Xenopus tropicalis: one gene and its partners. The protein of the gene in region 3 purifies or fractionates together with the protein of the main gene of each other region. This does not show direct contact. Links are inferred from orthologs where the notes say so. Each region holds a gene or a part of one and is shown on either strand. Other genes may lie near its edges.

The links. The genes of interacting proteins can lie anywhere in the genome.
Region 1: the proteins of ubxn7 (region 3) and topors purify together in Homo sapiens (affinity purification with mass spectrometry; 4 studies listed by BioGRID and IntAct, with this or other methods). This does not show direct contact. The link is inferred for Xenopus tropicalis from reciprocal best matches to the Homo sapiens genes UBXN7 and TOPORS.
Region 2: the proteins of ubxn7 (region 3) and ufd1 purify together in Homo sapiens (affinity purification with mass spectrometry; 3 studies listed by BioGRID and IntAct, with this or other methods). This does not show direct contact. The link is inferred for Xenopus tropicalis from reciprocal best matches to the Homo sapiens genes UBXN7 and UFD1.

The regions. Positions count from the first base shown.
Region 1 is NC_030677.2:115,119,616-115,123,817, forward strand, and holds the start of topors (E3 ubiquitin-protein ligase Topors), read right to left. Parts: upstream 2,801-4,202; 5' UTR 2,667-2,800; coding exon 2,607-2,666; intron 655-2,606; coding exon 1-654. Other genes in the region: smim27 (small integral membrane protein 27), read left to right, coding at 3,006-3,050. UniProt on the Homo sapiens protein: Functions as an E3 ubiquitin-protein ligase and as an E3 SUMO1-protein ligase. Probable tumor suppressor involved in cell growth, cell proliferation and apoptosis that regulates p53/TP53 stability through ubiquitin-dependent degradation.
Region 2 is NC_030677.2:154,228,754-154,233,025, forward strand, and holds the start of ufd1 (ubiquitin fusion degradation protein 1 homolog), read right to left. Parts: upstream 2,801-4,272; 5' UTR 2,785-2,800; coding exon 2,782-2,784; intron 2,411-2,781; coding exon 2,278-2,410; intron 1,167-2,277; coding exon 1,134-1,166; intron 349-1,133; coding exon 227-348; intron 1-226. Other genes in the region: cdc45 (cell division control protein 45 homolog), read left to right, coding at 3,131-3,181, 3,265-3,324. UniProt on the Homo sapiens protein: Essential component of the ubiquitin-dependent proteolytic pathway which degrades ubiquitin fusion proteins.
Region 3 is NC_030681.2:129,655,995-129,659,191, reverse strand, and holds the end of ubxn7 (UBX domain-containing protein 7), read right to left. Parts: intron 1,230-3,197; coding exon 1,068-1,229; 3' UTR 501-1,067; downstream 1-500. UniProt on the Homo sapiens protein: Ubiquitin-binding adapter that links a subset of NEDD8-associated cullin ring ligases (CRLs) to the segregase VCP/p97, to regulate turnover of their ubiquitination substrates.

The DNA.
Region 1 (4,202 bases), on a different chromosome or scaffold from region 3:
ATCTCTATAACGTCCGCCATCCTGAATGTTTCTCACACGTATTCCAGACCGGTACAAAGCTCTTCTGAAGTTAATGAGTTCTTGCTCTTGAATTTGCCTCATAGAACGACCCTCTGCACTGGCTTGTCGTCTGGAGGCTAGCCTTCTTATCATCTGGTGGATTTCTTCACCTCTTTGATGTAAATTCTGATTTGAAAACCCTTCAAATAAAATTCCATTGTCAGGAGGTGAAAATGTCCTTTGAGTGCTTGAAGACCTTAATGTCCGAATGGCTACATGATTGTCTCTACTCATAGTTGTGCGATAACGAAATCTATGTCCATCAGGACTGGCAAATGAACCATTCATTGTGGGCCTCAAGACATATTCTTTAAAATCATCCTCTGCTTTGACACTATGGAAAATGGAGTAAAAGGGCTGTTTGCATAGAGGGCATTCAGCTTTGTTTTTTGCCCATTCTTGAATGCAACGGAAACAAAATCTGTGCAGACATCGATCAAGATGTGACACATTATCAAACCTGTCCAAACATATTGGACACTTTGAGTCTGGGGAAGCATCTGTTGCAGTACCATGGTTTTGTAGTTTGCTTGTGCCAGCCTGGGGTGAAAAGCTGCCATCTAGTGAATAATTGTTAGAGGATGATGCCATCATCTAAAAAAGAAGAAAAACACATATTAAATTTTACAGTACTAGTCTTATTTGGTAAACTTATACATTATATGCAAAAGCTAAATAAATGTGATAATGCATCCCTACTCTTCGTGACGCTAAATGATATTATTATACGGTATCTCTTTGCACTGTATCTTAAGGGGTAGTTCAACTTAAAATTAACTTTTAGCATGATAACCTAAATTTTTTTTTATGAATTGTGGTTCGTGAAATATTTCCATAATTTATCCTGTAACTTTAAGACATAGAAATTTCAACAATTTGCAACTAGTCTTCATTTTTTTTTTTGTTAACTGTGGTTTTTCGGTTATTCCATTTTTTGTTCAGCAGCTCTCCAGTTTGGAATTTTAGCACCTATCTAGTTGCTAGGGTCTAAATGACCCTACAACAAGGCAGTAATATTATTGAGACACAGAGATGAATAGGAGAGGCACGAATAGGAAGATACGTAATAAAAAACACCAATAAGTTGTAGCCTCACAAAATGCTTTTTGGCTGCGGGGGACAGTGACCCACTTTTGAAAGCTAGAAAGAGTCAGAAGAAAAAAGGCAAAACATTTAAAAGCTATACAAAATGAAAAATGAAGACGAATTGAAAAGTTACTAAGAACTGGCCATTCTACAGGTATTGTACCTCTTATCTGGAAACCCCTTATCCTGAAAGTTCCGAATTACAGAAAGGCCTTCTGCCATAGGTTTCATTTTAATCAAATCATTAACATTTTTAAAAAATGATTTCCTTTTTCTCTGTAATAATAAAACAGTACCTTGTACTTGATCCCAACTAAGATATAATTAATCCTTTTTGGAGCAATCCTACTGGGTTTAATTACTGTTTTAATAATTTTATTAGCAGACTTAAGGTAGGGGATCTGAATTATGAAAGGACCCCTTATCCAGAAAACCCCAGGCCCAAAGCACTCTGGATAATGGGTCCCATACCTGCATAACATACTAAAAGGTAACACTGTAGGTGAGAATTTGTTGGAGACATAATATACAGACAGGTAAAAAAGGAACAGACGTACAGATGAATTCTAATTCAGCAAAAAAATGGGCTTTCAATGGTTTAGCCTGCATTCGGTTGTAGTAGGGATCTATGAATGTATAGACACATTAGGATCAATAAGACTATTTTAACCAGCCACTAAAGTAATGGAAACCATGGAGTTTCAGGTTTAAAATAAATATGCTGTGGCTGTACGCTGGGGTGTTCTATAACATTAAAAATGAATGTAAAGGTGAATAACCTACTGTGACCTACAGCACTTATATTTGCCTATTTGTGTCTGTTAGTTACCCTCCCATATAGATTGTAAGCTCTACGGGGCAGGGACCTCCATCCTCTTGTGTCCTCGACTCTTAACTTATTGCAGCTGTATTTATCTGTATTTATTATTATACTTTGTATTTATCTATTATCTTATTAACCTCCTGTTTGTATTAATGTATTCTACTGTACAGCGCTGCGTACATAATAAGCACTTTAGAAATAAAGATATATATACATACATACATACAACCTTATTAAGTTTTCCCACTGGTGTTATGAACCTACAGGGGTACCCAGAAAGTACTTTCTCCTGCACGTCCCTCTGCAGAGATGAAAAGCCCAGCCTACATAGGAGCCAAACATATACAAACCCAACTGAATCTCTGGTGTCAGCAAGCAATTGTGTGTTAGCGAGACAGCCCTAGATAAGCAAGGGGACAGCTGCCATATAAATACAGAAGCAGAAGTATACAGTGTGGTGGCGGTGTTGGAAAGAACACTATTATTACTATTACACCAAGGGTCCCGGTAAAATATTAATACAACTACTGGAAGGTAAAGAAAAACCGAGCCACCGATGAAACCTATAAGGCCGATTATGACAGCGGGTATAGTTCGGGGACGCAGTCACTCCAGTTTATACACAAACATATCTTACCGTGTCATTCGCTTCTTGCCTCGCTCCCGGCCTCCGCCGCTTGGTTCTCTTCTCCCTCATGGCGTGACCGTAAGCCGGGTCTCAAACCCGCGATATAGTCCCCGGACTTCCAGGCAATGCTTTCATTGATACCATTCGTGTTACACAATTCTACCCTCTCACCCCGCCCGGTACACTGTAAAGTCAGAGAAGGGAGGCATTCTGGGACAGGGAAAGTTCACTCTATATTCTACATAGCTAGCGCCCCCTAGCAGCCAGGAGGTCTGCCTGAAACGGATGTTGTCGAGCTTACGCTTAGCTCGTACAGGATGTGGTGGTGTTGCTATAGTAACGTAGAGGCGGAGCAAGGAATCATTGCTTGAATGATAGTTTACTGCGATAGAACGACCTCCAGTAACCATGATTTTAATAAGCAAGAGAGCAGTAGAATGGATTTATTCTCTGGTAAGGAAATCTGTATAATATATGATTGAATGAGTTACATGGCTTACGTCACGTAAAGGTATCATGTGTATTTTATGGTAAGGTTACCAGATTGTGTGAACGTCTGTGATACTTACTTGGTAAGTTTCACTATTTAAAGTCAATTAGTACAGCCCGGCAGCTTGTTTCTTATACTTGATGATCTGTTATCTATATATGACATACATCTCTCACACTAAGGACTAAGTTTTACATGAGGTAGTTATGTGCATGCCTATTTCCCAGTAGCACCCAGTCATCAAGCAAATTGCAGCCTCTCTCTTTGCTAAATATTATTATTATTCAATCAGCTCCAACATGCACTAGTGGGACTTGCCCCACTCCAAGACTGAAATAATAATCAGTTTATCTGTGCCCAACACAACTGCCCAACCATTTAGCTGTATATATTGGTTGCTTTTTTTTTTGTAAAATACAGTTTTTAACACCATACTCTATCAGCATATGCTTAGGTGTTTAGATGTTAGCACACAAGAAATTATATATATATATATATATATATATATATATATATAAGTATATGTAATTTCATCCCAGTATTTTGATAGTTACATCGTGTTGAAAAAAGACCAGAGTCCATCAAGTTCAACTCTTCCAAGTAAACCCAGCACACACAACCTATACTTACCATAACACATACATAAACTATATATACAAACATTAATACTAACTGTAGATATTAGTATCACAATAGCCTTGGGTACTATGCTTGTTCAAGAACTCATCCAGGCCCCTCTTAAAGGCATTAACAGAATCTGCCATTACCACATCACTAGGAAGGGCATTCCACAACCTCACTGCCCTCAGTGAAAAACCATCTACGCTGCTTCAAATGGAATGGATTTCTTCTGGTTATTATTTATCATAAATGTATTGCAAACAACATGGCTACCAGCACAAACAGTAGCCTTCCAAAATTCCAATGTGTACAAAGCTAGCAACTTATTTATAGATTGGATCACAAGAGAGGTAAAGGCATAACCTGTCAGAGGCTGGCCCATTAAATCATACATCGGAGAAGTGCAGATAGTGACCAGCAATCATTTTTTTTTCTTAATTTCCAAGTTTAATAGTGAGGTAAATCACTCAGGAACCCTAATACAGAAAACTGAC
Region 2 (4,272 bases), on a different chromosome or scaffold from region 3:
ACGGTGGCTTAGTGGTTAGCTGTGCTGCCTTGCCATGCTAGTGTCCCCAGTTTGAATCTCACTTCTCATTTGTGTGGGGTTCCTCCAGATACTCTGGGTCTCTCTCACATTTGAAAACATACAGGTAAAGTGTACATTCCTTAAAAGGTTTTTGGGGTACAATTCTGGGTCAGGTGTGGGATTGTATGCACCTGTGTAATGTGTAAGTTTTGTAAATATTCCTTACCCAATGAGGCAAGTAACATATGCCTTCATCTGCAACAAATTCAAGAACACCGCAATGTGTCATCCTGTCAGAATTTTTATTGGTCAGCTTGAAGAGCATGGGGTAAGTAATGTTCAAACGACCTGTAGAAAATAAATATGATAAATTGGTAACTGCGCTGTTACCTTTTGTGCCACAGTAGCTCTATTTTTACAATAAAACTAATCTGATTTTGAAACAAATACACAGGTTCTCTAGCATCAGCTTTTAAAGATTTGTATTTCATTTGGAAAAAGTAATGTTAACATATCAAAGAGAATGCATCCACAGAAAATCCACGGTAAGCAGTCACACTGTTTTTCACAATACTACCTGCTGTAGACAGATCAGCTTTGGAAAATTGTGACATTTTCATGTACACCTTTATCAGCCGGTTTAGAATGTGTGCCCCTGTCACTTCTTTGCTCAGTCAAAGGGTAAGTAAAACCCAACGGACTCTGGTATATGCCATTATTATGCCAGAATTACAAACAGCATAAGTGTAGCGATGCAGCAGGCATATTTCCCTGGTAATGCTGAGGCAGAAGTGTTTGGGCCCTCTGATGCACTAAGGCTAATGCCACACGGGCGTATTTTTGGCAAGCTGAAAAACGTTTGCCGAGAATACGCCCTGCTACTGTCGATTTGGCCTACCTTGTGCCTGCACCCGAATGAATGGAATACGCTCCAAGACTTCATATTTTCGGCTACATGTTCCTGCACCGTATCGTATTTCATTCATTAGGGTGCAGGCACAGGTAGGGGCATTTTTTAGCGTATGGTGCGTATTCTTAGCAAGTGTTTTTTGGCTTGCCGAAAATACGCTCCATATGCTACATGTGGCGTTAGCCTAAGATTTAATCAAGTAATCCAGGCAGAGCATACTTACTGAGTTGATCTAAAGCAGATGGAGGCATGATAACTGAAAAAAAGAAGAACAAGAAAAGTTACAGTAGTATAGTCTGTGACACACCATACACTATACACATTACTTCCAGTGACCCTTTTTCAAAAATGAATAAAGAATCACTGAAAGTGCTCCACTTTTTAAAGACTGAATTATCTCCTTTGACTAGAATTTTTGTTTTTCCTCACTCATGAAAGGACCAGTAAAACAAAAAACAAGAAAAGGTTTTATCTGTATGTAAATATAATATACTATTACCCTGCACTGGTAAAAAGTGTATGTTTGCTTCAGAAACACTACTACAAGTTATATGAAGTATATGGCACAACCAAAAGAATAGGGTAAAAAGGCACACATCTACACAGCAGAGTACAATGGTGCTGTTTTTACACAGCATAATAAACATGGGTCAAATGCCATTCATTCTTTCTACAGAACAATTGATTGAAAACCTCTTATATAATATAGAACCTATAATACTTAATGCTCAGGACCAGGGGTTTTTCCTGTACAAGCGGTCATTGTGTAATTTGGATCTTCATGCCTTAAGTCTGCTCAAAATGTATTTAAACATAATATACCAAATAGGATTGTTTTGTCTCTAATAAGGTTTGATTATATCCTAGTTGGGATTTAGTACAAGTACTGATTTATTACAGAGAAAAAGGAAATTATTTTCTTAAATTTTAATTATTTAATTAAAATGCAGCCTATGGGCCTTGCCGTAATTTAGAGCTTTCTGGATAACAGGTTTCCGGATAACGGATCACATACCTGTACTGGATATGTGTGGCCAAGAATTACCATTGTGTCCACTTTCCACATCCTGTACAGTTTGCATGATGGTACATGATGATAACAGAGATCTCATGACCTGTGACCAGGCCTGGACTGGCAATGTGTGGATTCTGGCAAATTCCAAAAGGACTGCTGTTAGATGCCATAGACAAGCACTATTTAGTGAACTAGCAGGGGCCTTGAAATGCAAGGGCATATATTAAATCCCAGTCTGCTTGTGGCCCACAAAAAAGTGGTCTAGTTTATGATTATTAGATATTATTACCTATGTTTAAATAATTTTATCTTGAAAAAATTACAGTACAGCTCTTAGTCACATATTACTTACTTTTCCCTCCTTTCTCCACATCAGATCGGTCATTGGGACCCGCCAACATGGAAACGGAGTAGCAACGGTACTGAGTAGAGAAGCGGTTTTGGAAAACCCGGGGTATGGGGTGGTCAAACATGTTGAAAGAAAACTAAAAGAGAATGGAATTAGTGAGATTTTGGAGCTGTTATTTCATTAAGCAACATAAAGATACATCGTGATAATTTGAGAAATTCTTTTTTACTTTGTTTTTACCCTTTTAGTGTTATTTAAGTGATCTGTAAAAACAAAAACTATTACGGAAACATACATTCAGATTAAAATCATACTGTTATTTTTCATGTAAAAAAAATCTTACATACAACAACTCTTCTTTCCCATCCAAGATGCATATAGCAGTAAAAAACTAACCCCTCAGTCACTGTTCAGCCTCCATAAAACCTGGCAGGTAAATGGTGTTTTATGATGATATATAGGTATACATGACATGACGCTATCACAAATGTGGAAGACAGATCTTACCATTTTGTTACCGGCTTTCTCTTATTATCCCGGCGGACCTAACACTATCTTAGTCACCGTCCTTCCCGGAAGTAAATATAATTGCGAATCAGACGATCGGAACAAGAGAAACTACGAATCCCAAGAAGCAACACGCTAAAAGCGGAAGTTAATAGACCGCTGTCAGATATCGGGAAGCGACCAATTGGCTGCTAAACTGTAGGACGCAGAGGCGGGGTTTATCTTGCGCTGAGCCTTCACGGATTGGGCGGGGTTGGTGTATGTCACGACGAAACGGGCTGTTTGATTGGCCACCGCTGCTCTAAGGGATTTTGGCGCCAGTTTCGAGGGCAGCCGTCAACTTGTCGAGATGTTTGTGAGTGATCTCCGTAAAGAGTTTTACGACGTGATCGTTACCGAGGTGAGAAGGGTAACCGGGATAAAGGATTTTTTTTCCCAAATAAATGATATGACACCACTCACTGTCTCTTCTCTGATTTCCAGCGCGTTCTTCTCCTTGTTGCACCTGATGTTGATGCTCTCTGCGCCTGTAAGGTACTTCAGGTAAGAACAAACCAAAATTAAGTTTTTTTTCAACAATTTAAATCACCATACCTACTTAAAACAACATGTAACTATGAAATAAAGCCAATAGGATTGCTTTATCACTAACAAGTTTTTATGCAGCTTAGTTGCTGTAAAGTACAAGATACTGTTTTATTACAGAGAAAATGTAATTAAAAAAAAAGATTTTGCATAAAATTGACAATGGGAGATTTCTGCATATCTGGTTTCCATTAAACTCACAGTGCCCCTTGCACAGATCCGACAGTATAAACACTTCATCCCCACATATAAAGCTGGTCATACCACCTAGTTTGCCAAATGAGTGGATCTTTGTCCCATATGTCACAGCACCACACTGATTGTTAGGCCTTCGACCAATGATTGGATCATAATGGCTGCTAATGCAGGCTGTTGGGAGAGGTCCACATCAATACGTATGTGGTGCTCTTCCCAATGGGTTTTTTTTTTTTTCTACACTGCCTAATATGTTGGCCAGGTAAATATCAGGGATGAAGTCGGAGAGGACCCATGTACCGGTAAATACAACTTATTTTATTTCCCACCAGATAATGTGCATGGTACCAACAGTGTTGCAGCTCTTGAACCATTTAGGGTCTGCTACTAAAACACTGTTACTAAAACAATGTAAAGTGTACTAGTGAGTATAAGTTACCAATGATAGAAAAACCTAGAAAGAAGGATAAATATTTCATTTCTGAAATCTGAACACTTGCCCCAAGTTGGTTCTATTATTCCTCCATCTCCAGCCTTTTGCCCAAATGAAAACATTTTATAGTGTAAAATTCTTGTGAAAGTTTTGCATTTGCTACATATAAATAGTGCATCTGTGTAATGGTGGATACTATGATTTAACTTTTATTTTTACCATAACTACGTAGTCATATTTTTTGGTTTTGGTCAAATGCACCTTAGAAGTTTAGTCCA
Region 3 (3,197 bases):
GCCCTGAACATTTTCAACACTTGCTGTAATGACTGCATTATTTTATACATAGAGGTATACTGGCTTCTCACTTGGAAGTCATGAGAGAAATTGTAGCGGACTTAAAGAGAAATAATTCTTGAACATATGACTATGAAGATTTTCATTCATACAGGTCATGGTATATCTAGTATAAATAAATCTAAAGCAACTGGACTAGTTAAGTAATCATTGAAGACGTTTCACTACTCATCCAAGCAGCTTCTTCAGTTCAACTGAAGAAGCTGCTCGGATGAGTAGTGAAACGTCTTCAATGATTACTTAACAAGTCCAGTTGCTTTAGATTTATTTATACTAGAAATATTTGAACAATTTCAATGCAGATCATCATTCAGTGTTGTTGTATTCATAAGCTGGAAAGGAACTTGTAATTAAATACAGCACTACGCACTGATGCTTGAAACTTGATACTTTCCAGAGAAATTCCCAGATAAGCATGCACACACCAAATGGAGAGAGGATAAATGTTTCATAGCAAGCTTTACTTTAAAACACAGATTTTCCAACCAACCTCTCAATACAGGAGAGACTAATCCCATAATGCTTGGCTACCAAGTGTGTTAAGGATATTTAAAAAAAAAATTCACCTTATTGGTTCCAAATTAAGGGTAATAAATAACTTATAGTCAATCACAACTGCCATCACCGTTCTTGCCTTTTCACACTCTGGATATGCCTTATAAGAGATCCAAAGAGTCATCCGGAGCTCCCTAAAAAAGGAGATCAGAGCCTGGGTGTATATTGAAGGAGGAATGTGCTCTGAGTCCCCGTGGACTGATGGAGGAATAGATGAAATGCTGTTAAAATTATCATGAGAAGGAGGAGATTTTCTCCCTCACAGTGCAATGATCTTGCCTCTCCTGAGTCACAGTGTTAAATACTCCTCTTTGTTCCCACAATGAGCAAGGAAAATGGGAGGATTTTTCATACATGAACAACTGATGAGGGGAGAAAACAGACTGAGAGGCAGAATCTTATTAGAAGAGGAAAGTGACAGTAGGTAGGGTGATGACACAGCATAGAAGATGCTAATTCCTTTCTTGTACAAAGACAGTTTCTTGTGGACACAAACCAGCTTCTTGTAACGTAATGTCATAGTCCAAGTGGGACAGCTTGCGCCGGGGAAAGTTTGTGAGGAGCTCAAAGCGTTCGTTGGGATAGCCTTTCAGTTGTACATGTCGAACCAATGCCTAAAGGATGACATTTATAAAGAGAAAAGTAAGCAAGAAAAAAAAACTATAATCACAAAATAACGAAAGACTAGAGCATTTAAGAACATAAACACTTACAGCCAGATATCACTAATATATATTTAGACAAAATGGTGTGACTGCTCAAAGCAGCATGAATTAGGTATTATCTAGAATGTCAAACATTTTCCAGACATGAAAGTTTTTTTTTTTTTTTACAAGAAAACAGAATGACCATCTATCATAAAAGTGCATAAAAGGTCCATCTGAAATCTTCATATATTATATATGACCAGCATCTGTTTAAAAGCATGCTACAGAATGCATTGGCTGCAACACATCTCTGAGCAGCAGGAATGCAATTATTATCTACACTTTAGAAATCCTATACCATAATCTGTATTCTATATAACGTACACACAAATATACAGTATGTTTATAACTTTTCATTAGTTAATAGTTGTTGTAGACCTAGCCTTGCTTAGGTCTCTCTAACTTCCAGAGACACCTTTAAATAAGCTGGACTTAAAGTAGACATATTGGATAAATGGGAAAAAAAGGTAATTTTGTAGGCAATTATGAATAATATCCGGTGCTGGTTTCACTTTGGGCTAAAAATTAACCCTATCTGTAACAATGGCCCCTTTATTGGAGCTCCCTATAGATCCTCTCACTTCTCTGTCCGAGTTTGAAATGAAGAGTGGGCGTGTCCTAACGGTCCCTGCCAGAAGCACAGTAGGAGGGGGAGAGCCAATCACAGCCCTGCACTCACACAAGCAAAGACAGGCTTTAGTTCCCTATCAGGTCAGCCTAGCTGCTGATTGGTTCCTATCCTACAGTGCAGGGTACGGAGGGCCGCCGGCTCCCCAGCTCATCCAGAGAATTCAGCCAGCAGGAAGTGGAACAGATGGGCAGGGCTAGTGGGGTTTTTGTGGAATTTCTCAATAAATCGGTCAGAAACACAACTTTTTTTAAGCACAATCCTTCTATATCTAGAGGAGTATAATTCCCTGGTACATTCATAATTTTTATAGGATATGTCTCCTTTAAGCAAGGGTACCTGAAATACTTTACTCGTGGCGGATTGGCTACAGGAGCATTTTTTGCCTGGCAATACACAGTCACAGGTCATCCTGCATAAATCTCTCTTAGTGTAAACTTGTGGGATCCACAACAGACACTTTCTTCACTTTAACACAGGGGTGACCATTTCAGCATAAAACCCACAAATCATAAAAATAAATCCTGCCTCTGGGCTTTACCTTCACACATTTGACGAGTTCGCTCACTACACTGGGCCACTTGTGGACTACCAGTAAGAAAACACTAATGGTTGGGATCACCCCAGTACTCACAATACTTCTTACTCAGCTTCCTAACTTTCGCAGTTCCTCGGTAACTCTCAGTTGCTTGGCCATGGCTCCCTCCGCTCCTTGCCGTGGCAGGCAGCACCCCCAAGCCCCTCTGGGAGTTCCTAACACAGACAGGTAGGTTTCCTGCTTTGTGTCCCTGCACTGAGAGATCTTACACACATTCTTCATACAATTAAATACCTTTCCACAGGTCAGCCTTCCTGTGGAAAGTGAGCTCCAGTATGTGAGCTGGACTAGTGGAATGGATCGCCTGGTTTACTTATGGTCCCAAAAGTGCCATTAACAATTATCACTATTTATCACTTATGTATCCCAAATGCAGGTAACCTACAGTGTTTCTGCTGATACCAAAGGATACATACTAGTGACATGTAGGGTGTGCTTTAAACACTTCTGTAAGTAAACATGTTTAAAGTAAAGTCCACTTTAATAAAGGCTTTATGTATGAAAAAAACAAATAGCAACCGCTTGCTTTTCAAGTTTTGCAAACTACAGCTCCCAACAGAATTTAAAAGCTTCAGGATTTTAGGGGATGCTGCAAAATGTAGTTCAGAGCTACCAAAAAGCAGCAGGTTTAGTCGTAACAAGAATGCAG